3 linked regions of the Nothobranchius furzeri genome follow. The protein of the gene in region 2 interacts with the protein of the main gene of each other region in a pairwise test. Links are inferred from orthologs where the notes say so. Each region holds a gene or a part of one and is shown on either strand. Other genes may lie near its edges.

Region 1 (11,192 bases), on a different chromosome or scaffold from region 2:
AAACTAAAGATTTACAGCTCAGACCAGTAGCACATTCACAAATGAACTCAAGGTGAGCACATAATATTCGGAAAAATGGCAGTGGGTTTTGTAGGTACAAAAGAAATATATCAGGGGAAACGGTATGCAAAAATTGTCGGTATGTCTTAATAAATTGGGATGTAAGTAGAAACCTGCCTCAAGAGGACATTTAAATCCTGAGTCTTTGTAAAAAGACAAACATTGATTTTACTACATAAATGCTTTTTTTCTACTGGCAGAAATATCTGCGATTTACCATTCTGGGTGGGTTTCTCTGGCTTTGGTAGCATTGGCAGGCCCTATAAGGGACTTCCAGTGGGCGATAGCATTGTCACGAGCCAGCATCAAGGCAACAATGGGACCAGAGCTCATGAAGGCCGTCAAACTGGGGAACATGAGTGTCTGGTCTGCGTAGAAGTCGTGGCATTGCTCTGGACTCAGCTGCAGCCTTCTCTTCTGCCACAGAAAACAGAGCAGTGGAGTGAGTGAACCACTGTGGTGGAAAATAGAATATAACTTCAAAAATATTAAGCTAGTTCAGACAGCTCAGATTTGTTTAAATGGACAAGTGACACTGTGAAGCTCTCACAGACATTATACTTCAACTTTTCATGAATCTGTCTAAAGCAGTTCTGTACAGTACTGCAATATCTGACAAAAATAGAACCAAGGGGAGCAGTAATTTCAATTGTAAACTGTAACAATGTTTTAGAATAGAATACACTTTATTAATCCCACTATGGGGAAATTAACTTTCTACAGCAGCGGCGCATATGCTTAGAAAAGGAAGAAGAAGAAGATCACAGGTAAATACACAAAGGTATTATTGTTAGCTTCAACAACTAAAAACCACAAATAAAAAAAGAAAAACTTGGATTCCAGAACTATGCAGCACAAGGGACACAGACATGCTGATGTACATCAGGTATTGCACAAGTATTGAACTCATACTAAATATTGCACAGATGTTATTGTGTAACAGGATAATGCCAGTACCAGTTGATCTCAGGAGTTTTACACTCTTACTGCTGAGGGGATGAATAACCTACAGCAGCTTTCTGTTTTACATCTTGAATGTCTCAGTCTGCCTCTGAAGGAGCTGTCCATGGCCTCCACAGTGGAATGCAATAGGTGGGAGGGGTTTTCCAAAATGGGAGGTCCTTTTGCCCACCATCCTCCATTCACATGTCTCCTCAACTGAAACTAGTTGGCAGCCCAGAAGCGAGCTTCCAGTCTTGGTCAGAGCTGCCTGCACCCCAACGAAGGTGGTTACATTCACACCGGTCCACAAAGTCCATTGTGACTGACCTGTACTCCAGGTCATTCCCCTCAGACACACAGCCGACAGTGGTTGAGTCATCTGAGAACTTCTGGAGGTGACAGTTGCTGGTTTTGTAGCTGAAGTCCAAGGTATAGAAGGTGAATAGAAAGGGTGAGAGCACCATACCCTGTGGAGCTCCAGTACTGCACACAAACACATCAGACATATAGTTGTGCAGCCTCACGTACTGTAGCCAGTTGGTGATAGTTGATGGTCCATGCAGTCAGATGTTCAACCACTCCTGCACCCCTCATCTTCTGCTGCAGTAGACACGGCTGTATGGTGTTAAAAGCACTTGAGATTGCTTTTTTGCATTTTGAGGTGAGCCAGCACCATCGACATATACCCAGTGCTGCAGGTAGAGGAGGGTGTCTTCCACCCCCATGTATATTATTTGGTGTGTAGCTGCACACATTACAGTTCACTGTTTTAGGTCTTCCACTAACTTGTCTATGCAAATTACTGACAGGTCATGGTCAAGAGTGAATGTGAAATTTCAGTCAAAAAATATAAGTAATCTGTAGTATTTAACATCCACACATTCCTAGATCAAATGGTTGACATGTTTCAGTTAACAGCAATAAGTATCTTTGAAGTGCAATTAGTAAAAAAAAAAAAAAAAAAAAAAAAAAGAAAGAAAAAAGATGTACAGAAACACCATGCAGACATTCACCTTTAAACGTTTAAAAGGTGTCTTAATAGGGTTTCCAGTAAAATTACAGCCCGTTACTGCCCTCTACTGAAAAAACTACGTAAGAGCCACACGGCCTCAAAAAGCGGTCACCTTTTGAAGCCATGAAGCGTAATATTTGAAACCAGATCGTAGGATGATCAATGGAAATCAGCGTTTATCGGGCATCTAAATAAATCTATTTTAATAAAAATATCTTCCTTCCACAAATATTGAAAACGCGCCTCTAGAAAGTAGGTGACTTCCACTCACCTGAAGTATACTGAAGCCAGATTTGACGATAACATTCTCAATCTCATCTGCCAGCTGAAACGCGTCTGGCTTAATGACGGCCAGCGTTTTCTCTACGATGACACGGTGATATGGCCTTTTACGATCCATCTTCATCTGAACGCTAAATGGCCACGAAATACGGCTCACGCAAAACTTGACTATGTAGCAGTAAACTAAACAAGGAACTCCAACCTGGAGCAGCACTCTGGGCTCGTTCTGTCGACTAGTTGCTAGGATACAATTACGGCGTCTGAAGTAGGACAATCCATGCGAATTGCAAACGTCAGTTGAACTTTCCAAATTACAAGCCCCAGATTTAGAAAACCACCAGTTAAATCAAAATTTTAATGACCGGTTGTCCCATGGTTTTTTTTTTGTGTAATTTTAATTCTGTATTCCATTTCAGATTAGCAGCCAAGATTTAATGTACAAGCAGTTATTTGAACAGTGTTAAAAAATAGAAATGTTTCAGACTTTAAATCCCATTTCACTTAATAAAAACTGGTCCAAGCTGATAGGGATGTTTCCATCCTCACAGCAGAATCAGTTCAATCTCCGCTCAAGTGAACTTTTGCAATTTGTTGTTCCTAAGGTTCGCAGAGCTGGGAAAGTCGGCTTTTAGCTTTGCTGCTCCATCAACATGGAATTCACTACAAAAAGATCTAAAAATCAAGGATTTGGTTTCCTTGAGTGGATTTGACTGATTAGGTCACTGGAATCCAGACCATCAGTGTGTTTGTTTTAATTGAGTTTATGTGGAAATGTATTTAAATGTGAATGTATTAATTTTGTAACTTGTGCTGCTGCTCTGTCCGTCTTGGCCAGGTCTCCCTTGCAAAAGAGATCTTGTATCTCAATGGGACCAACCTGGTTAAATAAAGGCAAAATAAGTAAAATAAATAAATACAGAAACTTAGTTTTCCCTAATTTTTCAATCATTTTTTCACGTTACTGTTGATCATTGTTTCAGCAGATTTTTTTAAATCGATGTGATCGATGTTCCCTTTTGATAAAAAACAATTTAACAGTCAAAATTAAATACAAGATCAAAACATTTTATTTTCAAAGAGTCTCTTTATTCAAAGCTGCATTAGCAAGGCTGTTCTTATCGTGTTCCAATGGTGACCTGCCACACTCTGATCAGGTTGTCAGTGTAGCCAGCAAACAAGGTCTGTTGAGTAAAAGAGGAACAGAAGTTAGCATCCATAATAGCACGCTTTTCAAAAAGGCTCAATCATGTGAGTGGTTCTCTGGTGCCCCTCATATTTGCAGGACTGTCAGCAGAATTAATCAGAGTTAAAAGTGAATGGGTATAATCACAGGGGTCACAACAGAAATCTGCATTTAAAGGTCCTCCAGAGAGTGTCGTACCTGTCCATCAGCAGACCACGCCAGGGAAGTACACTGTGGCGGTTCTGCCTTGCTGTTCGTGCTGATCACTTCCTGTTTCAGTTCATCCACAATGATCTTGCCCTCCAGATCCTGAATGAGGTAAAAGAGAACCAGAGTGATGGTATCTCTAACCAAGGTAATAAGTAACATACCTGAATTTATTGACATTCTCTATTGGGTCGGAGCTCAGAAACAGCCTCTGATATCATCAAACAATACAGCTAACATTTTAAATTTCATCACAGTCCTCCTTGATAACATGTTTAGCTTAACATCTTACCCAGATCTTGATGCTGGGGCCGGTGGCGGCACAGAGCCAATAACGGTTGGGGCTGAAACAAAGGGCGTTGATGGTGTCACCACTATCCAGGGTGTACAGGTGCTTGCCTTCATTCAGGTCCCACAGCATGGCCTGGCCATCCTGAACACCAACAGAAAACATTCTTCAGTGATTACATCGCAGCTCTTAACACGATACCCAACCCCACAAACGGGGATCGTGACAAGTTCAAGTCGTGCTCAGAAACAGCCTCTATTGTCATCATTTTAAAACAGATGTATGATTAATTTTCCATCATTGCAAAAACTTGTCCGTTCACTTAAAGATTCTAAAAAAGAACATTTTACAGAAATCTACAATTACTGGAAGCAGATGTTACCTTTCCACCAGATGCACACAGAGAGCCATCAGGGGAGACGGTCACTGTGTTCAAATAGCCAGTGTGACCAATGTGGTTGGTCTTCAGCTTGCAGTTGGCCAGGTTCCACACCTGAGAGGCATCACACCCGAGACAGAACAAACATCAACATCCAACATGGAAGCTAATCATAAAAAAGGTTGTCTTACGCAAGTAGTCAGCTAATAAATGCAAACTAAGTTAAACCATCTAACCAGGACCAAACATTAGCAAATTACTAGTAAACCATACCTTGACCACCTTGTCCCAGCCACAGGAGACAATGATGGGGTTGCTGCTGTTGGGGGAGAAGCGAACACAAGACACCCACTCAGAATGGCCTTCATCCTGCAAAATCAAGTTTGAACAGTTTAAAGTTCAGCTCATCCCAACAATGGCTCACTTTAGCTCATGTAACCACCGAGACTTATTCCATGATCCTGACACACTACACACTTAAAACCATCATACAGATTTAGTCCACAATGCTCCAGCTGATGGCTGAGCTGTGTGCTCTACCTCAGAAAATGTAAAACTAGTTAAAAAAAAAAAAAAAAGCTTGAACAAAAACTAAATGAAAACCAAAGAAGGAACAGCTCTAAGCAGCAGCAGCAGCAGCATTAAGTGACAGCTCACCTGAATGGTGTACTTGCAGACTCCAAGAGTGTTCCACAGCTTGATGGTCTTGTCTCGGGAGCCAGATACAATCTGACGGTTATCAGCAGAGAAAGCCACACTCAAAACATCCTTTGTGTGTCCAACAAACTGACGGGTGGTGGTGCCACTAGAAAAACACAAGATTAAGACGTCCGATTAGAATAAAGCTATATTAAGTTTACAGTTTAAAATGCCTGCCCTCCTCTACTAATTATGGCCTCTACAAGCTACAGTCATTTAAGGAGTTAAAACAGTTTTTTTCCCCACTTGTATTCAAACAAATCACTTTAGTACACAAACCTTAATGCCGATCAATGACAATTTTTTTTAGGTTCAGTTTATATCGGGTTCCAGCACTTTAGCCAGAATCAAATTCCAGCTCCTCACTTAGATGATTAAAACTGTTCAAACATGGACTGTAGTTTTATTCCTGTATAAACCCCAAACCCATTTATTTAGATCTACTGTTCTCTTAAGTCACAACTAAGGAGTGTATAAAGTGATGAAGGTGTAGTAAGGACAATAACACTGTGGAACAACAGTGTCGGGTACAAGAAACTGGGAGAATTTATTTTATAGGATCTCTGACAAACATTGTAATTGTATATAACTGCATTTTTAAATGTCTGCTGTTTATTATTTAGTGCGAGATTACTGAAGTTCTATCTGTGGTACAAAACACTAGTATAAAAAGCTGTTGCACGGTCATGTACACGCAAATGAAGTTTGTTCACCAAGATTGGGTTTACACATGGTGTAGCTTAACTAGATGTCATTTCCCAACTGTTTTATGGCTTAAGTTATGTTCCCTGGCAACTTGGTATTTAGAGGTCATAAGTGCTGAAATGTTTGTAGCTCTAGTAACAAATACGCATTAGCGCGGACTGTGTGTTAACATCGGTTCAAACACATTTTCATTTATAGAACAAAGGTGACAAATCATATCTTTAAAACTATCCAGGATGTTTGTTACAACTTAAATTTAGAAAGGACATACTTCCAGCTAATACAAACATGCAAGTCTTTACCAACTTACTTATTTCTAAAAAGAAAAGCATTAACTAGTTTAAACTGTGTTCCACATAGATGCTTAGATGATGCAGATCAAGGGTCAGCAACTTTTTTCCTTGAGGGGTACCATCCTGCAAGTTCCACACGTTTCCTGCTCTAAAGGACCCAGATTAACTGATTTCATCACAACCTTCCTAAGTTGACTTCTCTAGATGCTCTCACACATTTAAATATGTTGGGAGCAGGTAAACGGGTAAAGAGATATATTTACAGGACAGCGGATCTGATGTAGAAGCTTTCTTCCTAGCTGTACTTACGTGGTGAGGTCCCACAGTCGGAGGGAGCCGTCCCAGGCGCCTGAGAGAGCAAACTGTCCATCCGAGGAGATGACAACATCACTTACAAAGTGAGAGTGGCCCCTCAGAGAGCGCTGAGGGATCCCATAGTTGGTCTCGTCACGAGTCAGCTTCCACATGATGATGGACTTGTCTGAAAGTTTAACACATAAGGTTCAGGACTCAGGAGTATTGCCTAAAGCAAAGAGCAGGTAGGTAGCATTAGCATGCGAAGCTAGCACTTAAGTTAATATCAAGTTAATATCACATTGCAGCGCTTGGTTCAAGGCCTTATAACCTCATGTCAAGTAGTCTGATGTTTAACTGGATGAATCAGTGTCGGTGCTATGTTGGTGTAAACCCAGGAGTGAAACACAGTAGATCCAGCTAATGACGCTAGAAAGCACAAGTTTAACTACACCAGGTTTCCTCCACTTCTGAAGTCGCAAATGTTCACTATAAGCGATTAATGAGCCTTTAGGCTGTTGTAATCACATTTCAGCGGTCTTCTGCCACTTCCGCAAAAATCGTATTTTTGTAACATTACCAAAGAGTCACTGCTAGCTTACAAAGCTAGCTGTAGCCATGTTGGCGGCTGCCGGCGGGGGAAGCCTCACCTCGGGACGCCGACAGAATCATGTCGGGATACTGAGGGGTAGTGGCGATCTGGGTGACCCATCCACTGTGGCCCTTCAGGGTCCCCCTCACTGTCATCTGCTCGGTCATTTTGACGAGGTTCGGTGGTGCCTTTTACAAGGATGGATTCGGATATTTCTCAGGTTCGTAAAAACCTAGGTCCTCATCGCATCTAGGCACGGAGGAAAAGGAAGTACAGACCCGGATGCAAAAACTAAGAGGGGTGAAGGGCTCGCAGAGCATTCTGGGATATGTTTTTTTCCCCAAGTCATCCAAGTGTGCTACAAGAAAAGACTGAAGGGGACTGTTTAGAAACATGATAAAACATTTCACTTACAACACATCACCATTATATATAAGTAATACACACTGATTTGGTTATTGGTAACAGCTGTGCACATCCCTGATATGTTTCTGTCTGAATGAATAAAGGAAATTAAGCTCTTACGAAACATAGCACCAGTAAAATAAAATGTCTGTGATGGACACAAATTTTCTGATTTTAGAATATTCTATATTTTACAAACGTCCGTATTTTTTATACTTTATGTTACACACACACACACACACACACACACACACACACACACACACACACACACACACACACACACACACACACACACACACACACGAGCTTTAATCCCATAATATTTGTTTCTTTTCATGTGAAAGGCGGCTTTAAAGTTGACGCCTTGATATATTTTATACCAGGGATGTCCAAACTTTCCTAGATAAGAGCCAAAATCAGCAAGTTAACTGTCCTTGTAGGCCACAACATATACATTTTTTAAATGCTAAAAATATTTATTCTTGCATTTGTACTCCCTAAAATTTGTCAAAATGGACTATTAAGTTTGAACATACAATGTTGGGGGGGGGGGGGGGGGGGACGACAGTGACATAAATTGCTCCAAGGGCGACAAATGAGGGCCACATACATGCCTGCTCTATACTTGTGTACTGATTAACAAACAATCTTTAAAATTTGAATTTTCATTTCATTTCACTTTATTTGTAAAGTCTCTTGTATTTATTTATTTATTTATTTATTGGTTCTTTTTTAAACACAGAGAAGAAAACTTTTCTTTCCTGTGTTTAAAAGAGAACCAAAAAAAAAATACAAGTTAAAAAGACCCAGAATGAATGCACAGAAGATTGTAATGTCCCTTCCACAATCTCATCAAACACCCAAGGTGCTGGACAATACAGCAGGCAACAAGTACAAATAAGACAATATAAAACAACCATAAAAACATATAACCTAATAAAAAAAGGCCAATTACAGACAAGACAATGATGCCACGCTACAAAATAATTAATGTTTTATCTCACATGTTGAACAACATTTGGAATCCTTCAATTTCCAGGCTTTCTACTGGTATGTTTTATGAATAATCTGATATTTCTATATGTAAACTACTGCACAGCTACACTATTTCAACACTGTTACATTAGGCTGAAGTGAGAATATTGGTAACAGTGTTGTGTGCTTAGAAAAAAATTGTATGGTAAGCCTCCTCTCACTGTAAGACTTGATCATCCTAGCAGATGACGTTTTACTTTCTAAAACATGTCATTTTCAAACTTCTTTAGTCATTTGCTTTATTTTACTAAAATAAAAGTTGAAACAGCTGACTAGAGCTACGGCCACAGAGTAGTATGTGCCTGTTGAGTCTTTTGGTCTGAGGCACCAGATACCAAGTGAAGTGTGGTTCAGGTGGTGGAGGAAGAAAATACCTGCTGGAAGGAGTTTGATGAGGCCATGGAGGAGTTTCATACTTTGAGAAGATTCTGGTCCACCATTTGATGTCTCAGGAGGGTGACACAGCTGCACCACCAACACTGTTTATGGTGGGGATGGTGTACTGCTGACCTCCACTTGGGATGTTGTGAGTCAGTGGAAAGAGTACTTTAAATACCTCCTCAATTCCACTGGCACATCTTCCATTTAGGAAGTGAATTCTGGGGGTTTGGGCTATCAAGTCTCTAGTGCTGAGGCAACCAAAGTGGTTAAGAGACTCCTTAGTGGTAGGGCTCCAGTGGTGGGTGAGATTCGCCTGGAGTTCCTCAAGGCGCTGGATGTTGTGGGACTGTGTTGGTTGATGCGGCACAGTAAATATTGTGGATACTGGGGGCAGTTCCACTGGATTGACAGACTGGGGTGATGATCCCCCTATTTATAAAGAGGTACTGGATGGTGTGCTCCAACCACAGGGGGAAAACACTCCTGAGCTTAGCAGGCAAAGTCTCTTCAAAGGATCCAGAGACAAAGGTCCCCTGGATAATCAATCAGATTTAGGAGGAAAATGTGATATTCTCCTGGTCTGTGGAACACTAGACCAGCTCTATACCCTTAGCAGGGTCATAGAGGGTGCACAGGAGTTCATCCAACCAATCTACGTGTTTTGTAGACTTGTAGACAGGGCTTAATTTGAGCCAGATCTTGCTGGAACAAGATCCGGGAACTATTTTATTTTGAAAGGCAACTGTCTGCTAGGATTCAGCAACTCACGTGACAAACTTGTGCTATACGCAACATTCGAAATATGGGTGAGCTAGAGGGAGCTCCTGGAAGCCCTCAACTTCTGAAGCAGGGGAACTGTAAAGATGCAAAAACTACCATTGTTAAAAGAGATGTGTGTTAACTTAGAAAATGTGGGCGCAATTTTAATTACTAGTCAATTGCTGGCCATTGTGGATTTCACTTCCCATTTCCGCCAGTATCTCCTGGGGCAGCCCTTTAACCCTCTCAGGCTCAAAATAAGTTTTGATAAAAGGACGAACAACTAAGTCCTTCAGGGGTACTTCTAAGTTAAAAAATGCTCATGAAATATGTATGTGGAGCATCAGGTAGGTAGGTTTTAACATTGCAAATCAGCAACGCCTGCCTCCACAGGGTTAAGGTGTGCACAGACCATGGAAGCCTGCATTGGCTTACAGAGATGAAAGAGCCCGAAGGACAGTTAGCTCGTTGGCTTGAGAAGCTTGCCAAATATGACTTTGAGATCGTTCATCACCCGGGTCGGGTGCACACAAATGCTGATAGTCTTTCCAGAAGACCATGCCACCTGTCTAGCCTATGCAAACTTCCGAACCCATCTACACATTTGGCATTCCAGTGCAGCTTGGATTCTGATGGGAGATTTCTGTTGCTGAGTCCAGTGGGGGTGGAAGAGCGACCGGCGGGCTGACACAACAGTCTGTCCAGTGGGGGTAAGTCAAAGCACCCCTACACCCAACACAAATATTCTAGAGTCTAGACCAAAACACTTCCACACATACAGACACAATACATCAGAACATTCCCACTGATTCACGTGTTGTAAAGCAGACTGAGAAGGTACATGTGTTCCTTTGTTTCATGGTTGGACCATGGGGGACTTGAGCCAGGCCCAGGATGTTGATGCAGATATTGCATCCATTCGTGCCTGGATGGAGGCCAGTAATGAGCGCCCCCCGTGGACTGCTGTTTCACTTTGCAGCCCAGCCACTAAAATTTATCGGACTCTGCAGTAAGTTGGGCTCATTCCCATGAGTTGGACTCTGTCCAAAGGCTACCCTTTGTCACAGATTCTGCTCCTAACATCTATGGACTGGATTTCTAGGCACAGCCAAGGTGTTGAGGGGATCTGTTTTGGTGGCCCAAGGATCAGTTCTCTGCATTTTATAGATAATGTGTTCCTGTTGGCTTCATCAGACCGTGATCTCGGCCACAGGTGAGTTTGAAGCAGCCGGAATGAGAATCCCACCTGGAAATCATAGACCATGGTCTTGAGTCAGAAAAGGGTAGAATGCCTTCTCCTAATGAGTGAGGGAAAATGTAGTGGGCGATCAATAGGATTGGTGTTGCATCTAAAGTGATGTGGGCATTGTAGCGGTTTCTTATGCCGAAGTGAGAGCTCAGCCAATTCCATCTTTGGTTCTTTTCTGAACACTGAGTATTAGAAATGTTATTTACCTTCTTGGTGACAAGTTTGGGCTACATCTGTAGCCTTCTTCAGAGCGTCACCAATGATGAAAACGGCTACAGATGTAGCCTAAACCTGTCTGTAAAAAGGTAAATAACAAATATCTATCACTGTGTTTGGAAAAGAACAAAATAATGGAATTAGATAAACCTACACAGACAGAACTCTGCTCAAGCTGCCCTCACGACCAAAAAGGAAAAGACACAT
Region 2 (9,800 bases):
GCAACCCTCTGGTTACAGGGTGGGCACATAACTTGTCTGTCCTTGTTGCCCCATAATGACCCAGTGGCAGCCCAGTAATGATCCATTTATGGTCCAATAACTCACTCTGCAGTTCTCCAAACTAATTAAATGGTTTAGTTTAATACACACCTGCATGTAAACCGCACGCACGCACACACACACACACACACACACTCTCACACTTGCACACGTGCACACTCACGCACATACGCGCGCGCACGCACACACACACACACACACACACACACACTCTCACACTTGCACACGTGCACACTCACGCACATACGCGCACACACACACACACACACACACACACACACACACACACACACACACACACACACACACACACACACACACACACACACACACACACACACATTAAAGCCTAGATTGACTTGAAAAGCCTCAGACCAGAAGGGGGAGTCTGACTCCTGCTGGAGCCACAGTAAAATTACATCTCAGACCAGAAGAACCAGAACCAGAGACCTTTCTCACTTGCAGGTTGAGGACCAGGGTCAGGTTACTTCAGGGTCACACACAGAGTGGGAACCTTCAGCTCCAGTTTTAGTCACTCATGTAGAAGTTATTTTTATTTTAATGTGTCTCCAAAGTCACTCAGACCATTCTAACTTCTGACTGAAGTTCTAGGCAGGACATCAGAACACGTCTGTCTTCTTATTTCTGAAGGTTCTGGCTTCTTTTCTCTTCTTGTTTCTGAGACAGTCACATCAGTTGTTCATTTATTTTTAGCTGCAGGATCTTCTCTGCTCATCCTAATCCATGCTTTGACCTGCTGATTGTGTGTGTATCACACACACACACACACACACACACACACACACACACACACACACACACACACACACACACACACACACACACAACACACACACACACACACACACACACACACACACACACACACACACACACACACACACACACACACACACACACACACACACCTCAGTGGCCTGACGGATCTGATCCTGAATCAGGTGTGCTCTGGTTACATAAGTACAGCTGAAACCTTTCTGCTGTTATTCCTGAACTCCTCACAGGAAGTCGGTGCTGATCTCTGATTGGTCAAATCGCAGAAAAACTCAGAAATCCTTTTTTTTTCTGCTGTATTCACCCTGTCTTCATGTTTTGAGTTTCAGATGAATCAGAACTTGGATTCAATTATTATGACCAGAACCGCCCAGAAACCCGGTTCTGGGTCATTTGTGTAAAAACTGGTATTTACATTTGGCAGAAGCTTCGATCGATTAGCAGGTTCTCGCTACTTCCAGGCCCGTTGATTTCACTCAGAACATCTCTACAGTCTTACTGCACCACCTGTTGATCACATTATCACATTCTGTCATTGGGACACAGATCCAGTGGAACCGGTCTAGAAGTTCTGAGTAGTTCTGTTGGGCTGTGTTACACCTTTATCACCAGACTGAATTTTTAGAGTCTAAAAATATTCTTGTAATTAAAAAGAAGCAACACCTGCAAACCACGCAGAAGCTCTGCTGGTGACCAGTCTCAAACCTCACCAGGGGGAAGAGGAACCCTGTCTGGGGGGGGGGGGGGGGGGGGGGGGTCCAGAAGGAACAAATCCAGAGAAATCTGCATGTGTGTGTGTGTGTGTGTGAGTGTGTGTGTGTGTGTGTGTGTGTGTGTGTGTGTGTGTGTGTGTGAGTGTGTGTGTGTGTGTGTGTGTGTGTGTGTGTTTCCCCTTAAATAAACACTTGATTAATATTTTCTTTTTAACGAGTCTCTGGTCGACGATAGATTACTCTCCCCTTGTTGACCTTTGACCCTGAGACATGCCTCAGCTGTTGTCATTGGAACATATAACTTTAAATAACTCAATGAGTCAGTGTGAGCTCCACATTACAGCCACTCGACCTCCAGTCAGGCCCCCCGAACGGCTGGCTGTCAGCTGTTTGTCACCGTGGAAACCAGCCCACACGCCTCTACAGGTTTGAGCCCCTCATAACTCAAATAGTTTTCAGAGCTCCGGTTTCCTACAGACCCACAAAGACAAACTCAGCCATCACTGGAGCTTCAGCACCACATCCACACATTTGTGCTTGTCAAGTTTATTTAGGGTAGTTTTCCTGTAGTTTCTGTGTTTTTGTCCCTGCAGATCTGAGCTGTGTTAGATATCAGGGCAGTGCTTCAGCTTTGAGGATGAAGCAGGAACCAGAGAGGACACGGTCTTCAGCTGAATATCAGGACAGGTCCAAACAGCTGCAGAAGAAGTTTGACCTAAGCAGGAGTATCTAAGCATTTAGTGTCAGATGAACGTTTTATTTAAATTTTTAACAGTCACGTGTTTTGCTGTGACACGGTTGGTGTTGATGACAGGAAGTCTCTGGATCTGACTGTTTTCTAGTTTCTGGGTCTGATGAATAAACGTGAGTCTTATCAGTATCTGGGTCGTGTTTTATGACCGGAGCTCACACGTCTGCTTTTTAGTAAAGGTCAGTGAGGGCTTGTGCTTCTAGTTACCAGGCAGTACTGTGGCCTAATATTTTCATAAAAAAATATTTGAAATATTCAGCATTTTTATTAGAACTCATGTCAGGATAAATCTAAACCTGGTGCGTCTCGACCTCGTCTTGGTTTTCGATTTTTGTTGCAGCGGCAAAGACATTTATCAGATCACCCGTCTGAACGTCTAACAGCCACATTTTATCTGAACCGCTGGAGAATGGACCTCCTGGTGGGACTGAGAACCTGTGGTCTGTTCTCTGTGAGGAGCAGGACTGGAGCCCTGAGGCTGGATGAGCAGCAGGATGTTCTGAACCTGTGGTTGTCTTAACAAACATCATTTTAACCCTTTCATGTTGTTTTCTGGCACAGGCTTCCATATGCAAGCAGGATAAACAACAAGCATCTCCATCATCAGTGAGAGATTACCAGAATCACTGAAGCACTTTGGGAGATGTCAGGACCTGCAGAACCCCGGTCGGACCTTATTACAGCCAGGACTCATTTCATGCAGCATTAACGTGATTATCAGATCTGTTCCGGCAGGCTGGTTTAGACATTTTCCAGCAAGTAAACACCAGCAACAACAGAGCAGAAACTAATGCTCATGAGCTGTGCTTACATTCAGCTCCACCTGCAGTCAGCGTTCAGGGTTTAGTTACAATCATATGGGGGTAAACATTTGTTCATAAGAAAGTCACTGGTCCTTCTAATCAGTCGACAAATCACCTTCAGGACCTCCTAAAAGTCTAAGAGCCTGTGAGGAGGAACTATTCTGTCAAAGGGAACCTTTAAAAACTCACTGACCTTCTTTCCATAAGCAGCTCCCATTATTCCCACTCCAACGGGCCTCTTTCCTTTCTCTCCACTCCAGCTCTTTATTTCCCAGCAGCAGTGATCCGGCTCTGTTGCTCCTCACTGTCCTGTCCCCTTGGCCCGGCAGCGGGACACCCGGGTCTCTGGGTCCATTAGCTCGCCACAGGGTGAGGAAAACTTCAGATCAACAAGCGGTGGAGAAGTGAGCAGCCAGACAGGGCTGAGCCAGTCTGAGTGTCCGAATGTGTGGAGCAGCAGCAGAAGGAGGAGGAGGAGGTGTCCCTGCCACCTGTTCCCACATGACTCTCTGCTCTCAGCTGTGGGGAGATAAGGTGCTCTGACTGGATTAATGTAATTGGAGGAGACAAGAAACCAGAAAGCAGTGAAGTCTGAATCTGGAGTCTTCTCCACTAAACAAGTTCAGGGTGAAGATGACAGACCAACACGTGTGGAGCCAGAGGAAGCCCGCTCCAAAGGACAGATGGATCCACCTCCAGCCTGCTGTGGAGCTGAGAATTCACCCACTCCTTCCTTCAGGGTGGTGGAACCACTGAGTCATTCCTGCTCATGGTGAGCCTCCAGATCAGAATCTGTGCCTCGTTGGGTGAACTGGACCGCCTCTTCCCATCGGAAGACTTCTCATCTCAGAAGACGTCCATTCAAAGAGCTTCAGGCTGATTAACTGTACTGAGATCTTCATCAGTAGAAGCTGAGGACCGGAGTGAAAGCAGATGTTTGAAAACAGATGTCCTCCTTGACTCCTCTTGAACCAGTGAGCCTTGCTGTGTCACTTGTCCTTCAGCTGTAGGTGGACAGGAGGACCTCCACCCGTGGAGGCTGCGCTCATCCTTTCTGGATGGTGAACCTTCATCGGGGTTTTGGTTGAAAGTATGAAGGTGTGAGTTAGAGACTAGACTCAAAGCTGCGTTAGCGTTCGGTAGCTTTCTCTGGTTAACGTTGGTTTTCTCCATCTGAGGAGACATTGAACTGGAGGTTTCAGGTTTCCAGGAGCAACAATGCAGCTCAGAATCAAACACAAACTTTTTATTTCAGCACGTTTACACTTTTGATCTGCAGACAGCTTTGGTTCTCCTGATGTTGTGATCATTTAACATCCGCGTGAGAATCAAACACTCAGGTGTGAGATTAGTTTCAACTAGATGCTAAAATTCATTTACAGTTCCCAATTTTCCTTTTAAACACAATAAATACTCTTTAATTTCCTTAATTAAACCGGCAGAAACAAATGCAGGAGGTTACAGAGAGGTCAAACGATTCAATGTGAGCGAATATGGTGATCTGATCCAGCTGAGCCACAGGTTACCACGGAGACAGCAGGTACTAAGGGAGGAACATCTTCACTAGTCTACAGTGGGCGGAGCCTCTGACTCTTCCTGGCTTGGACCCGACATCTGCATGAAGAGTTCCCGCAGCTCTGTGAGGTCATCATCCAGGGACGGAAGGGGCGGTTCTGATCGCTGTTCACGCTCCTCGATGAAATCCCACAAATGAACGTTGTTCATGAACTAAACAGAGAAAACACAACTCAGCATCAGAAACTACAAATCCAGCTGATGATGGACTACCGCTCCCAGGAAAAAGCTGTGGTTTCTTACCCGGACGTTCCCCTCTGAGCTCAGCTGCTTCCGAGGCCGGTCCGGTTCTGCTCGCGTGCCGTCTGGGAAGGTGTGAAGATACAAGCACTTCCCTCCAAAAGGACACGAGCCACGACCCTGATCAAAGTACTTACAGGCCTTCTTACTGCACACAAACAACAACACATGAAAACACACTTCCACCTGCGGCTTTAACTTCCTTTATAAACTAGCAGCTCATTGGCTGAAGATAAGTGGGCGGGGCTCAAGCACAAAGCTCACCTGACACCTGACTTGAAGAGTTCGATCAGGTTGTCCTTCTCTGCCTGATCCTCCACCCAGTACACAGAGGGAATGACGAACTCCGAGGCGACCCGACACTCCGGACACGATCTAAGACGCAGAGAGAGACGCTCAGGTCCAACAGAACCACAGACTAGCAAAGATGCTTTTTAAAGCAGATGTGTATGCGATCTCCGTCTCAGAGACACAAACCGATCCCGTTCCTGCACCTACAGATGAAACTGGTCCAGGAGTTCATTTATGTCAGTAATCCAACCTAAAGGTGAAAATAATCTACGAGACAGACTCGTTCCTTGCTAATCCAAAGTGTCGCACTCTAATCAGCTAATGAATCCAGAACACCTGCAGAGGGTTCTTCGGCTTTTAGATGGTCTCTCAGTCTGAGCTGGATTACTGACATTAATGAACATTTTTACAGTTTAACCTGTAGAAAACTTTTACCATGATCCTAATAATCAAGGATTAGTCTCAGGTCACAAACATGTGAGCAATAAATGTTAACGCACGTTGGAAGTAACGTATCTTCAGGGTGGAGCGTTTTCCTTATAGATTCATAATCTTCATGTTAATCTTTTTTTTGGGTAATCTGGTATTTTCAGTTGTTAGAAATCAATCAGAAGTTGTGAAAATCAGCAGGTCAGAGCCGTGTACGAGTCAGAACCTCTAGAGACCCCGCCATGGCAACAGGAAATAAGAAACTCACTCACTCGGGTCGCAGGGAGCTCGTGTCTAACTCCAGCATTAAACAGAAAGAGGTGGAGGACACCTGGACCTGTCTTAAGCAGGGGTAGACATTTATATCAGCTCGATATTTGTCCTTAGTAAAGCTGATTTAAAGTCAGGCGCATCCTCAGGCATCCCAGTGCTGTTGCACAATTTACTTTAAATTTACGTTCACTAATGACATCTGTATAATAAATACTCTAAATGTACTTAATTTAGGTGCCTGACTTTAACCCTGAGCAGTGCACAAAGTTAAGATAAGTTAAAGTCAGAGTTCATAACCGATTCGACTTCAGAGATTTCGTGCATCAACTGATGCCATCAGTAACATTTCAGCATGAGGTGGAAAATGACTGGATGAAGATCAGCCCATAAAAACCAGCAGTATGTATCGGCCATCGACTGATCGTGTCTCCCACATATTGGCAGCGGCAATAGAAGAACCGGTATTGGTTGACCTCTAGTCTCAAGTCCATCACAGGGAGACAGAACCAGTCCCACACTCGCTCACACCTACTCCAGAGTCTTCTGGGTCTAAAAAAAACTTCTTAGGACCCGATTCTGCCCCAGTCCCAGATTCTGGCCCCGGACCCTGGATGGTTTGAATCCGACTCTCACTTGATGATCTTGTTGCAGAAGGTTCTGGTTCCTCGCCACTGTCGGATGCAGGTGAGACAGAAGGTGTGGCAGCAGGAGGAAAGGATGCCAAACCTTCGCTCTGACGGATTCGACTTCTGAACCACCACCTCCATGCAGATGGAACACACCTGAACAACAACAACAACAGTGAGGATGGCCGCCGTCAAGGCAACCAGCTTACATACTCAACCAACTCACCTTATCCTGGCTGAGCTGAGCTGCAAAGGCCTTCTCCATATCAGCCTCAAATGCCAGCATGCACATCTGTGGGGAAACACGCATGCACACACACGTTAGGTTCCCACCATCCTGGACTCAAAGACATCTCCATTAACAGAACCTAGTCCAACCTTCTCATGCGCTCTCCTCTGCTCAGCATCATAGGGGTGGAGCACTTGCAGGCCGCATACATCACACAGGTTGCCATGGAGATATGTGCATCTGTCCTCAAAGTGACAGTGTCCAGCGGCAGCGTAGGGACACAGCTGGGGGACATTTTGGTAAGCCCCGCCTACTGGATGGGATTCTGCAGAAAAGGCAGGTAGATAGAAGTTTATCCCCCCTTCTCCAAGCACACTGATGACATCAAACAGAGCAGCCAATCAGACGGGTCAATCCAGACCTTGTTCTAGTGCCAAGACATCCAGTCCAGTTCTGATGGCGTCCACATATGTCTGTGGGGCTGCTGCTGCAGAGAAGCCTGAGTCCAAACTGTGTACTGGGCCGCCAAACGCAGCATCACCACCCAGAGCTGAAAAGCAGAAGAGATGTGGTGACAGAGGGGGTGTGGCCACCACAGTCGCATGTTGAACATCACCAGAGGCTTGTTTGTTGAAGCAAACTCTGAAAATCGAGGCACATTTAAAAGTCCTCACTTGAGTTAGCTTATCAGTTGAGTCTAGCTAGGTTTATTCTGTTCCACAAACGATGCTCAGGTGGAGGCAGTCCGTTAATCCATGCTAGATGAGTGAGAATGGAAGGAAAAGAAAGAGCCACGTCCTTCTCCCAGGTAGAGCAAGAATTAATTCACGCCTACAAGGATTACAAAGGTTTCAGCTGTTTGATGAAAGCTGGGCAGCTGGAGCCATTTAGTTGAGCAGCTGTGAGTTTTAAGAAGATAAGTTCATGTTGGTCACCTGACCCTCATGTCTTTAAAGGGATATTGTACCCCAAGTGAAATTTGGTCTGTTGCCATGACGGTGGCACGGGAGTTAAGTGCTCGCCCCGCTCAGTTCGTCGCTGTCGTTGTGTCCTTGGGCAAGACACTTAACCCGACTTGTCTGCTGTCCAGAGTACAAGCTGTTAAAATGTATAGTCACACCTATAAAGTTTTCCTTTTACACATGTTATGTTGGCAGATGTAAGTATTTAAAGCTATTTAACATAAAGAGGACAGCATGTTAATGATACGGGTCCATCCCAGACTAAAGCAGGAGCAGCATCAGTGGAATCAAACGCTCCTGGCTGCTAATGAAGATTAAACACAACAATATTCTTCAGAAGGATACAAATTCAACTAGAACTCAATTTTAAAAGATTAAACCCACATTTATTAATAATTTAGCCACTAAAAATAAAGATGCAACTGCTGTGGGCCAGCGGAGGCAGAGATGCACCACCTTGGTGCCGCCGGCAGGCAAGAAGAAGGGGCCATAACACTCACTCGAGGAACCAAACTGGGAAATGAGCCGGGATTTTTTTTGAGTGAGCCTGATTTATGGGATTAGCTCGATCTGTGGAACAATCCTCAGGTGTAACAAACTGAAAACACACACACACACACACACACAAATAATAGCTAATTTAGGTGCTGATATCACCTACTCTACAGGTGTTCAAGGCTGAAACCAAAAACACGTGTTTACCTCTGTCCCTCAGAACCAATGTCCTCTTGGCTTCACCTCTGCCTCCACCTGCCAGGTCCTCTGAAGGTGCACCCCCTCCTCCTCTGGGTGTGGGTTTTATGTGATCATACCTGTACACACATCACACAACCATCATACCTGTCCAAGCGATGCAACCACACCCAATCAGCAGATGCTTTACTACTGTCTAGGTCAAACGGAGCCAATATTACCTGTCAGGTGAATCATTTCCTGTCAGATTAATCTGCTACCTACCAGACTGACCTGTTGCCCGTCAGGCTTGTCTCACCTGCAGCGCTCTCCGTAGGCACACACTCCTCTCTGGTAGAACTTGCAGATGGTTGATGGTTTACTGTTGTTCGGGTCATGAGAGAACATACAGCGGCTGCCCTCTCTGCACACTCCATGGATGAAATACCTGAAACGAAGCACACCTGTCAACCTTACTGATGATTGCCTGTCATGTTCCATTTACTCAGGTAACCCCAGCTCTGAACATGTGATCCACCTCTTTTTAACTCCACAAAAAGTTCACCCATTCTAATGATGAAATGTAACAGACTGGGAGAAGGAAGCCCCGAAATTTTTGGCTTCCATGCAGCACGTTTGGACCGAATCATCCAATAGAGAGTGGTCTGGACCGGTTTGACCTGTAGAACTAGACCTGTGTGATCTGCAGAACTGGACCTGTGTGATCTGCAGAACTGGACCTGTGTGATCTGCAGAACTGGACCTGTGTGTTTCTATAGAACTGGATCTGTGTGATCTGCAGAACTGGACCTGTGTGTTTCTATAGAACTGGACCTGTGTTATCTGCAGAACTGTGTGATCTGTAGAACAGGGCCTCTGTGATCTGCAGAACTGGACCTGTGTGATCTGCAGAACTGGACCTGTGTGTTTCTATAGAACTGGACCTGTGTGATCTGCAGAACTGGACCTATGTGATCTGCAGAACTGGACCTGTGTGTTTCTATAGAACTGGACCTGTGTGATCTGCAGAACTGTGTGATCTGTAGAACTGGGCCTGTGTGATCTGCAGAACTGGACCTGTGTGATCTGCAGAACTGGACCTGTGTGTTTCTATAGAACTGGACCTGTGTGATCTGCAGAACTGTGTGATCTGTAGAACTGGGCCTGTGTGATCTGCAGAACTGGACCTGTGTGTTTCTATAGAACTAGATCTGTGTGATCTGCAGAACTGGACCTGTGTGATCTGCAGAACTGGGCCTGTGTGATCTGCAGAACTGGACCTGTGTGTTTCTATAGAACTGGACCTGTGTGATCTGCAGAACTGTGTGATCTGTAGAACTGGGCCTGTGTGATCTGCAGAACTGGACCTGTGTGTTTCTAT
Region 3 (10,722 bases), on a different chromosome or scaffold from region 2:
GAAGACGAAGGAGCACCATCTTCCTCCCAAGAAGAACCCTCAGAACCTTTTTTGCAGTCAGCACTCGGTATGTGTGTGTATGAAAATGATTGTGGGTTCCTGAAAATGTTAAAAGTTATCTTTTTGTGCGTTTTTGTGCCGTCTACAGCTCTGAGCAAGCCTCATCTGTTCGAAGGCCGAGGTCACAATCGACAGGGTTCCGACAGCAGCGTGGACCGCTTCACACCAAAGGATGAACCCGCAGAACCCGAGCCTGATAACAAGGTGAACTCGTCCACTCATAAAACCTCCACCAAAAATACGAGTTTGATCCAAAACAAAACGAGTAAAAGCTGAGAACAGCAGGTTCTGATGATGATTCTTTCCTGGTTCTTTGTCAGCCGTCGCGGATAAAAGGTCTGATTGGACACTACACGGATCAGCAGGCGGAGCCACTGGTGCACTGCGTTCGACTTCTTGCTGCTTCTTTTCTTCTGTCAGGGCAAAAGAATGGTTAGTATCTGTTAAAGAAGGTGTTCACTGAGACGCCATCTTTTAATGATCATTTCTGATTCTAACGGGTCACTCTGAGTGTTTCATGCAGTCTGAACATGAGAATAGTCTCCTACACGTACCTCCTGCAGTAGCTTCTGGTATAAAACAGACGGTGAAACTCTATGATTAGAAAATCCTGACAGATCTATGTCACTCTGTCACTAACATTCATGGACTTACCCATCTTTACTCACTACGGGGAAGGTTGTTGTTGGTTTAGTGTCCTGGAAACAGCAGAGAACGTCTCAGCTAGTAGAAGCTAACTGTTAGCATTAGCATCTCCATCACACAGTAGAACTCCTCCAGGCTAGTGTTCTTTGTGGAGATAAAACATCAACGTTGCAGAGCAACCAGAGTCAGTGGTAGAGTCGTGTTGCTGTTAGCCAATCAGAGGAGAGACGGCCACATATCAGGAAGTAAGACTCCAAATCCTGTCGTCTGAACCTCAACTCTGATATGACTCACTTCTAGCTCCTGAAACGGGCGCACCTGAGATTTGTTTCTACCAGAGAACGACTGACAGGCATTCCTGCTAGAGACCAACGCAAATTTATCGATTAAACGAGTGATCCGCTGATCGCTCATCTGTTGCCTGTCAATCAAGAGGACACGCCCCAAAGTATTCCTGATAATTCACCCCCTCAGCGTTGTCATAACTTGACCTCATAAAGCTGCTGTAGCAAATTTGGAAAACAAATTAGCTTAAAACGTTTTTAATGCCTCTTAACAATGCTCTTATATAGCATAGCTATAAATATATTGTGGAGATAAAAATTTTTAAATTTAATCATACATTGAAAACAGTTAAAGCTATTAATATTTTCTCCCATTGTCTTATTTTTGTGTTTGTGAAGCAACTTTTTTTTATCTGGAGGAGCTTTATAAAAACATGTTCTACTCCAAAAATGCATGGAGGAGATCTGTAGGTAGAAATAGCTTTTAAATTTATTGAATAAAAAAAATCCACACAGTTTTCCAGCATTACCGCAGCAGGCTGAAGCTGTCTGATAGTTTTTCCGCACTGAAACGTCAGCTCCGTGAGAGAGACGCACACATTCTGACACCTTAGCCTGTCTGAACTAACGTGTGCCGTCAGAAACATTCAAACCATTTGTAAAAGACAAGTTGGGCTTTTAAGTTAACTAAAGTGTGCGACTCCGCACTCGCGCTGATGAAGCAAAAACCAAGCTTTAGAAATCAGCCTGAACCTGCTCTGATGTGGGAGGAGTCTCTCTCTCTCTCTCTCTCTCTCTCTCTCTCTCTCTCTCTCTCTCTCTCTCTCTCTCTGTCTCTCTCTCTGTCTCTCTCTCTCTCTCTCTCTACATGTGTGTATATATATATATATATATATATATATATATAAAAATATATATAATCGGCTCTAGCAGCGCTGTGTGTGGGAACATGAAACAGGGAAAATAACCTGAACATGCAGCTCTGGCAGCTGTGGAGTTGGTCTCGGCTCTGGACTGTACGCCCCACCCCCCTCCCCCGCGCTGGCTTTTGCCGCCGCCGTAACACCGGGGAAAACCGCGGATGTAAAACAAAGTTACACAACTGATCCTGTATCAGTCAAAACCGCTAAAACTGCAGCTTTGACGGTCACGTGATCGTGCTGTTTGAAATTGCAGTTTCAGTTAAAAAATGTTGGATCTTTCAGCCCGACAAACTACCAGAGTCCCAAAAAGAAAATCACCATTTGAAGTCACGGACGACAAGACTGTTGGACCTAGAAAACGGTGACGGGTGTTTAGCGCTATCTCGTTATTCTGGCATCGTGGGTTTCTGGTTCTGGTGGACACAGAACAAGGGAAGATACTTGGATGTCATGGGAGCCAGTGGGAATGTGCTTCTTTCTCTAGCCAGCCCCTAGTGGATGAGGGGGGAACTGCAATGTTAGTCGCTGGCTTGTTGGTCTCACTTGACTGCAGGTGGAGTTTGCCCCTTCATACAGATTATAAACATTTGTTTCATCACATTCATGTTTTTTCTTCACATGGTAACACAAAGGTAACTCCCTCATGTCGGAGCTGAAGGGTGAAGGGTTTTCAGTGCGTTTCAAGTTCAAAGTCACTTTTTCAGGATTGCCTTCCCTCCGTGACACTTAACATGAAAATCCAGCACCGGGTTTATTTTTCTTGATTTAGTTTTTATTTATTCCGTAGCTCACTTTTAACACCTCGTACCATCTTGTAGTTTTTTTGGTTTTATTTTCCATTTCAAATGGTTTTTATCATTCGTTGCATTATTTTTATTCTTGATAGTGCCGTTAACGGTTCTCTTATTCCATTGTTTTTATTAGGGATTTTCATCCTTGATTATTTATGCTATGTTTTTATGTATTTGACCTGATTTTCATGCTTTCATTGTGTTTTGTTGATTTGTTCAAGCATTTGGCTCTTTTATGTACAGCACGTTGGTTAGCTACCATGCTATTTTGAAATGGTGCCTTATAAAAAAATTGGTATGGTATGTTTCTGTTTGTGCAATAATTTGTTTGCTCAGGTTTGATCCCTGACAAAGAGGTGCGAGTGAGTGTGAAGGCGTTGGCTGTCAGCTGTGTCGGCGCAGCAGCAGCGCTGCATCCCGAAGCCTTCTTTAACCCCCTCTACCTGGAGCCGCTGGATGGCGTTCCAGTAGAAGGTAGGACAAAATAAAATAACACAGCGAAGCTCTTTAAACTGAGTGTTGCAGTTGTTGGTGTTGTTAAAATGCGTTTATAATAATCTTTCTGTGTTTTATGGCTCTCATTGATGGTAGAGTAGATGATCCTGGAAAAAGCCATGCAGACAAACTACTTTCAATTCAATTCAAGTTTATTTATAGAGCGCCAAATCACGACAAGAGTCGTCTCAAGGCACTTCACGTAATAAACATTCCAATACAGGTCAGTTCATTAAGCCAGTCAGAAAAAAGTTTCCTATATAAGGAACCCAGCAAATTGCATCTAGTCACTGACTATAAAGCACACGACTATTTTTCCAGGATAGGTAGGCCTCCTCATGGTGCGTAGAGCGCCATGTTCTCTCCAATTTTCTAGAGTTTTGTTTTAGAGCTTGTAAATGAGAATTAAACCAGGGAGCCAACTTCCTGTCCCTAATTACCTTCTTTTTTAAAGGGGCAACATCATCTAATGCCACACGTAAAGAGGAAGTAACATTATGAACTAAGGCATCCATTTGTGAGGAGCTAGTAATGAAAATGTTGCCCTCTGCTACGTTCCTCTGAGATGCTGAGGTCAGTAAAGATGGAACAGTTGATTTAAAAGATGCAACTGCGTTGTCAGATAGAGACCGACTATAGTGAAATTTACTTTCATGTCTCGAGAACTCAGTTATAAAAAACTCAAAGGTTATCAGAAAGTGGTCCGAGAGGACTGGATTATGTGGAAAGATGGTTATTTCCTCACACTCTATGCCATAAGTCAGCACAAGGTCCAATGTATGATGGCAGGAGTGGGTGGAGCTATGTATTCTTTGAGTAAAACCAATTGAGTCTAAGATATTACTAAAGGTTACATTGAGGCTATCATTTTCAATGTCCACATGAATATTAAAATCCCCCACTATAATGACCTTATCAGTATTTAGCACCAAATCTGATAAAAAATCAGAGATCTGATCCAAAAACTCAGAGTAAGGGCCTGGTGGACGATATAAAACTACAAACAAGAGCAGTTTTACAGTTTTATAATCTGGATTAGGAAAACTAAGAATAAGATGTTCAAAAGAACTGTAGCTATTAATTGGTAAGGGATTGATTAATAAGTCTGAAATAAAAATGGTTGCTTTTACTTTTACACCTGATGATGTTTTTTCTGCTCAGCATTCGTCTCTTAAAACCCAGACATGATGTCGTCCTAAAGCTGGACAACATCCATCAACACGTAGTTGCTGATGTGAAATCCCACCTTTGAGCTTGAGCTGTAAACCCTTTTGTTGAATAATAATGTAGTTACAGCTGTTGTGGTCAGATCTAAAAGACTGTCATACATTGCAAGGCCTTGCACCTGGTTTGTGTTGAGAATGAGGGTGTTTCTCAATGTCAAGGCACCTGGCCTTGCAAGGTGATGTCTTGCGAGGCCAGGTGCCTTGCTTACGAGGACCTTGGTCAAAGAAAACGGTAAAATGGAACAGACTTGCATCATGTGACCGCAGCTTCCACGGCGGTCACGTAACGTCACGTGACACGGAAGATAACGTTATATTTCATCTCTATTAGTTGCAATATAAATATATAACGAGCCTTTGAATTTTTAAATTGTGTATATGTTAATTAAATTAAAAATATAAGCGAGTTACTACCCGCTAGCCACCGAAGCTGCAACTACCAAGCAACTAACAACCATAGATAACTCTTAGGATCTAAAAAAAATTTTTTAAATTAGTTTACTTACTTTTAAACTTGAAAATTGTCCCCGAAGTAGCTGCCGGCTTCTGATCCACTGTCTTTTTTCAAAATACAGCGGTGTATTGTGGGTAATTTTTGACCAAGGCTAGGCTACAAGACCCCTCCCGTGTGTCCTCGCTCAGCTAGCTAAACGGCTAACAAACGGAGAACACACGCCTCGGTAGAACACGAACATTGGAGCATGCCTTGGCGGCTCCCGATGACGTATCTCCTAGGCAACCGGGGCGGGGCCAAGACATCACGGCGAGGTTCCTCGGCATTGAGAAACACTCTGACTCTGCTAGCAGCGTGAAACGGAGGTCTGGTGGCCATCTTGAATCGAGTTGACTCGGTGTTTCCTCGAAGTGAATCTGGTGAAAACTTCCTAAGATATTTAGCAAACAGACATGCCACGTTCCAGTGTGGTATTTAAAGCATCATTAATCCGTTTACAGTCACAATATTTACAAACTGCATATTTGCTAAAATATCTCCTATTTTGGGTGATTCCTGCAGTGGACCGTGACCTGCTGTGTTTTATGCTGCATCCCTTTGCAGAGCGACAGTACGTCAGCGACGTTCTCTGCCTCATCACCCACGGGGACCCCCAGATCAGAGGAGCCACAGCCATCCTCTGCGGAGCCATCATACAAGCTGCGCTAACCAAAACACGCTACAACATTCACACCTGGCTGGCCAGTGTGCAGCGTGCAACAGGTTAGCGTCTGCTTTTTCTGCTGCTGGCATTCTAAACCTTATAAAAGTAGCTCATCAGGTCTGCCTGCTCTTTAGGTAACCCTTTGTCCCTGGTGGACTTGGTGCCTTTGCTCCAGAAAACTCTTAAAGATGATTCCTCTGTCACCTGTAAGATGGCTTGTTCTGCAGTCAGGGTGAGGTGGACCCGTGTGCTTTTTGGGTCTCGGGGCTCTAGCTGCAGTTGTGAGTCTGACTTTTTTTACTACTTGTGGGTGTTGCAGCACTGCATCATGACCCTCTGCAGCAGCACCCTGAGTGAACTCGGCCTGCAGCTGGTGATCGACCTCTTTGCTCTGTGGGACTCTTCCTACTGGCTCGTTCGCACCGAGCTCCTGGAAACGTTGGCTGAGTTAGACTTCAGGTAAAACAAACTCGAATACCCAAATCCAACATCTCAAACACTGACGAGACTCCAGATATTCTGTGTGTCTGGAGGATTTCCACATGTTAAAGTTCCTGATTTTTCTTTAGATTAGTCGGTTTCCTGGAGAGGAAAACAGAAACTTTACACAGAGGAGCTCATCACTACACTAAGGTAGGTTCAGACCTGTTTTCGTCCGTGTTTCTGTTATTAGTCCGGAGCTTTATTGTTCTGGGTTGGTTGATGTTCTTCTAGTGGCTGCTGCTGCAGGACAGAGTTCTGAATGACGTGGTCATACGTCTGCTGGGAGATGACGACCCAAGAGTCCGGCACGTGGCGGCGTCTGCTGTCAGCAGGTGTGTGACGGACTTGTGTTGATGCATCAACTGCAGTACCTAGATCTGACCACAGAAGGTCATTCTTCCTTCATGCTGCTTTAAGCTAGTTTTATTTCCTTGTTTTAAATCAGGGGTCGGCCGCGGCTCTTTTATCCATCTGATGCGGCTCCCTTCTCGTAAAATAATGAATGAATATTGAATATTATTCATTTTTTATCTGTATGCCAATTCTAAATTTAAAGATTGTCAGCGTAAACCGGAACAGGTCCAACAGCTGACAGGTCACCTGCAAATGTCTCTATAGGGGCTTTCTGAGTTGAGAAGGATGTGAGATTCTGGACTTTTGCCTCAGACAGGCTCATGAATGCATCGCTGCGTCGCCACATTGGAGACAGGAACAAGCGCTATTCAGCCAAAGTTTCATAATAGAGTACATTTTCTAAGAGACGAGTCTCTCTAGCCTTTTTCAGATAGACATTCTGGAACATTTGTGGACAATTCAATCCGGTTTTTAACCGGAACTGTGTTTTCAGACACACCACTTTTGTACCGGAACTTGTCCTTTCGGCTGCGTTCACACAGCAGGGAAAAGTTCCAGATGTCTGACGGCGGCGGGGGGTGGGGTAGGGGCGGAGAATCTGACTTATGTTTAGAAGAAAAAGAAGAAGAAAATATCATTTCTATAGCGCCTCTCCAGATAAAAATCACGAGGCGCTTAAGCATAATTCTGCGCACACGAAGACGCATAAGAGACCTGGATGATGAAGCTCAATGGTTAAAGGAATCACTGAAGCGGTGTGAAGCGCTCCATCGCGCGTCTAGGCAGTACCGTAGGAGGCAAGCTGCCGTGGTTCGTCGCATGCTACAGCAGCGAGCTATCTAGGTGCGCACAGCGTCCCCGTTCCCCTCCTCCTTCCCCTCCCCCTTGTCCGGAACTTTACCTCACCAGTCTGAAGCAGCCACCCTGTCTGTAACAAGTCCGGACCTGTTACTAGGGGTTTCGTCCGGTAAAATTCCGGAACACCTTATCCGGATGTTTGTATTCAGACACAGAGGTCTTACGGACAGAGTCCGGAACATTTCCGTTTTTCATGGCCTGTCTGAAGGGGGCTTCTGAGAGACACGGTTTGGGAAACACTCGCTTCAGTGAGAGGAATCTTCCTGCATGCGCACCGGTTCTGCAACGCGCTCCAAACCCCCGATCTACACATCAGCTGAATAAATCTTCAGCTCGCTGTCCACCTTACGCATGCGCTGAGCTCAGTGTCCAGCTCTGATGGGAACCTTTTCTTGATTGACATAACTACTAGGGATGAGCCGGATACTGGTGTCAGACGAGTATCCGGTACGGATAAAATATTTTTGACGAGTACGAGCATGAAACGAGTAAAACTCGTAAATATCTGTAATCGTGCTGAAGGAAAATCCTCATTGGGTAACTGACTGAGTTCCCGCTCTGTGATTGGCCAGTCAAATAGAGTGCCCGCCCCTCCCTACACACAAAACTGCAGTGGGAGCTCACAGCTCAGTCCGCGTCCGGTCCATCCACGCGCGCGCACACACACACACACACACACAGACCATAACGGATCTCTCTGTGCTTGCTTCACTGTTCACGTTTCTTCAATACTCCCTACGTTTTCTTCAGTTTGCTTCTTTTTAAAGTTACTTTAAAGTTACTTAAAGCTGCTTTTTCCGTAACGTACGTGGTGCATTTGACGAGACAGAGCTGAAAACAGCTCGTGCTGCGTCAGTCACTGCCTCCGCTCCGGTCGTTTTTTTCCCCTCCCCTCTTCCTCAGGATCAACTCCCTCGTTCCTGTCCACTCTCTCTCTTTCTTTACATATTTTAATCACAATTGTCTTATTTTTTAATCATTTTAAATATATTTTAATCATTTTCTAAATTCTTTTTTTCTTTTTTACATGTTTTGTTTTTGTGAAGCGCCCCGTGATTTTTATCTTGAGAGGCGCTATAGAAAAGATCTTTTCTTCTCTCTCTCTCTGCACTTAAATATTAATGTTCTGATTTTATTGAAAAACTTGTTCTGTAATAGTTCCTTTACTATTGTGATCAAAAACATTTAATCTCAACTCTGAGGCTGCTCTGTAAATAGTTTTCAAATAAACAATACACATAGCAACTTCTGATCAGACTTAAAACAACGTATTAATGTAAACCACACCCACTTCTGGTTAAACTACACCCACTTCTGGGTTAGGCCACGCCCACTCCGAGTACAGATACAGATAGTGGTGTACTCGCTCATCCCTAAGAGGACAGAATGCGCAGCTAATTAATTAAATAATTTGGTTCTGTACCTTTCTCTTCAGCACAGCCGACAAAGGTTTATGATGGGTCAGTCCTCCTGCATGCTCAGATCATTCCCTTCCCTTGCTTGAAAAATTGTTCCAAAATGAAAGTAGAACCCACATCTTTTTTATCTGTGAATTCAATGCCGTTCAGCGAGTCTCAAATAAAAATTTGGGCATCTTACTGTAAAAAATATACCATTAATGTAAAAAGAAACTCTAAATGAACTATGTTCACATCCAGAATCAAACCCGGATCCTCAGCACGAAAGTCCGATGTCTTACTAGGCGAGCTAAAGCGCCAATGACGTCCTTTGTATCTGTAACATTTATATCATTGATGACAGCTGAAACAACGTTCAAAGAACGGTTCGGAGGGCTATGCCTGAGCGTGAACGCGCATGAAGCAGCCTGCTCGACCCGAGCAGCTCTCTTTTTCTGTGATCTTACAGAAAAACAGGCAATCACAGTAAAAATGCCAGGGCTCATTCTCCAGGACCAGGGCATTGCAGGAGAATGTATGAAGAAGACATTTATTATTTCTATACATGTTTTGGCTGTCAAACTTCCATAATGCCCCTTTAATGTGGGAAACGGGTAATAACGTCTCTTTGATGGGAAAAGTTTGCCGAGCCCTGTTTTAAATCAACCCGCACTTCTCTCTACTAGACTAGTTCCAAGACTGTTCTTCGACTGTGACCAAGGCCAAGTGGACCCAGTGGTGGCGATTGCTCGGGACCAGAGTTCGGTCTACCTACAGCTGCTGATGCACGAGACTCAACCCCCGTCTCAGTTCACGGTCAGCACCATCACAAGGTGGGCTTTTCCTTCTGTAGCACCCAGAGCTGTCGGCTGTTTCAGCCGGGGGTGCTCTGACGGTTGTCATCACTGCTGTAGCGCTCACCGCGGTGCTTTTTTCTGTTTTGTCCGTGAAAATGAACCCGTTGTTGGATCTTCTGACAGGAACTCGGACCATGTTTTTGCCACCTCAACGCTTTGCTTTACTTTCAGGACGTACCGAGGCTACAACCTTTCTAAAACCGTGTCTGACGTCACTTTGGAAAACAACTTGTCCCGAGTTGTAACGGCCGTCTCGCACGCGTTCACGTCCTCCACCTCTAGAGCACTGACCGTAGGTGTTTCCTGCAGCACCACATTGCTTCACACTGTGTGTTTTTAACGTATTAAAATGCTTTTGCCTCCTCTGAAGTTTGGCTGCTGTGAGGCTCTGTGCCTCCTGGCATCGGCTTTTCCGGTCGGCACCTGGAGCACAGGCTGGCACTGTGGCTACGTTAGCGCTAGCAGCTTCTCGTCTCGTTCCAGTCTGAGCCGCAGCAGAGGCAGGTCCCTCAGGTTTGTGGAACCGCTCTCACTGGTTCCTAATGCCACGGTAGCGCTGTTGTGATTTTCGCTCCTTTGTTTTGATAGTTTGTCCCAGACGAGCAGCGCTCCAGCGTCTTCAGCCGCCACTTCATCAGCTCCAGACGCTGAGCGGAGGACTCTGACCGTAGGAATGGCCAACATGGTGCTGTCCCTTCTGTCTTCTGCCTGGTTCCCTCTGGATCTCTCTGCACATCAAGATGCACTTTTGCTCTGCGGCAACCTGCTGTCTGGTGGGAAGTTTACATAAAAGTGAACCGTCCTTTGGTGCGTTTGTCGCTAACCTGCCATTGACTAACCAGCCTCGTAATCGTGTTCCCAGCTGTGGCTCCTCGATGCTTGCGCAACCCCTGGGTCGGAGAGGAGGAAGGCAGTAGTGGGAACGCCAGTGGGGGCCCAAATAAAATGGAGGAACCGTGGCCGGCACTGTCAGAGCGCTCCCTGGTGGTCATGGTGGAGCAGCTGTTCTCTCATCTCCTGAAGGTGCTCAACATCTGTGCTCACGTGTTGGAAGACACGCCGCCAGGACCAGCCGCTAAAGTGAGAAATGTAGTTTCTTTGTTTTTTTCAAAGCGGCGGCGCACTCGGGCCTTCATTGCTGCCTTTTATTAACCTCTGAGTACAGTTTACAGCTGCATGAGTCTGTTGTTTT

The links.
Region 1: the proteins of mkrn2 (region 2) and rack1 interact in binary tests that used the Homo sapiens proteins (3 or more experiments, as listed by UniProt). The two-hybrid records come from large-scale screens. The link is inferred for Nothobranchius furzeri from reciprocal best matches to the Homo sapiens genes MKRN2 and RACK1.
Region 3: the proteins of mkrn2 (region 2) and htt interact in binary tests that used the Homo sapiens proteins (3 or more experiments, as listed by UniProt). The link is inferred for Nothobranchius furzeri from reciprocal best matches to the Homo sapiens genes MKRN2 and HTT.

Annotation. Positions count from the first base shown.
Region 1 is NC_091741.1:97,228,082-97,239,273, forward strand, and holds rack1 (small ribosomal subunit protein RACK1), read right to left. Parts: upstream 7,217-11,192; 5' UTR 7,105-7,216; coding exon 6,996-7,104; intron 6,533-6,995; coding exon 6,361-6,532; intron 5,160-6,360; coding exon 5,012-5,159; intron 4,724-5,011; coding exon 4,628-4,723; intron 4,469-4,627; coding exon 4,358-4,468; intron 4,120-4,357; coding exon 3,979-4,119; intron 3,789-3,978; coding exon 3,678-3,788; intron 3,478-3,677; coding exon 3,412-3,477; 3' UTR 3,361-3,411; downstream 1-3,360. Other genes in the region: nme5 (nucleoside diphosphate kinase homolog 5), read right to left, coding at 278-477, 2,286-2,420. UniProt on the Homo sapiens protein: Scaffolding protein involved in the recruitment, assembly and/or regulation of a variety of signaling molecules. Interacts with a wide variety of proteins and plays a role in many cellular processes.
Region 2 is NC_091743.1:77,110,758-77,120,557, forward strand, and holds the end of mkrn2 (E3 ubiquitin-protein ligase makorin-2), read right to left. Parts: intron 8,868-9,800; coding exon 8,739-8,867; intron 8,560-8,738; coding exon 8,450-8,559; intron 7,336-8,449; coding exon 7,207-7,335; intron 7,111-7,206; coding exon 6,935-7,110; intron 6,849-6,934; coding exon 6,783-6,848; intron 6,713-6,782; coding exon 6,564-6,712; intron 5,313-6,563; coding exon 5,202-5,312; intron 5,086-5,201; coding exon 4,941-5,085; intron 4,851-4,940; coding exon 4,686-4,850; 3' UTR 4,354-4,685; downstream 1-4,353. Other genes in the region: protein FAM107B, read right to left, coding at 3,316-3,339. UniProt on the Homo sapiens protein: E3 ubiquitin ligase catalyzing the covalent attachment of ubiquitin moieties onto substrate proteins.
Region 3 is NC_091746.1:25,518,582-25,529,303, forward strand, and holds part of htt (huntingtin), read left to right. Parts: coding exon 1-67; intron 68-148; coding exon 149-264; intron 265-380; coding exon 381-492; intron 493-3,039; coding exon 3,040-3,177; intron 3,178-5,481; coding exon 5,482-5,640; intron 5,641-5,715; coding exon 5,716-5,813; intron 5,814-5,900; coding exon 5,901-6,040; intron 6,041-6,150; coding exon 6,151-6,214; intron 6,215-6,295; coding exon 6,296-6,396; intron 6,397-9,359; coding exon 9,360-9,506; intron 9,507-9,701; coding exon 9,702-9,822; intron 9,823-9,900; coding exon 9,901-10,043; intron 10,044-10,118; coding exon 10,119-10,303; intron 10,304-10,392; coding exon 10,393-10,619; intron 10,620-10,722.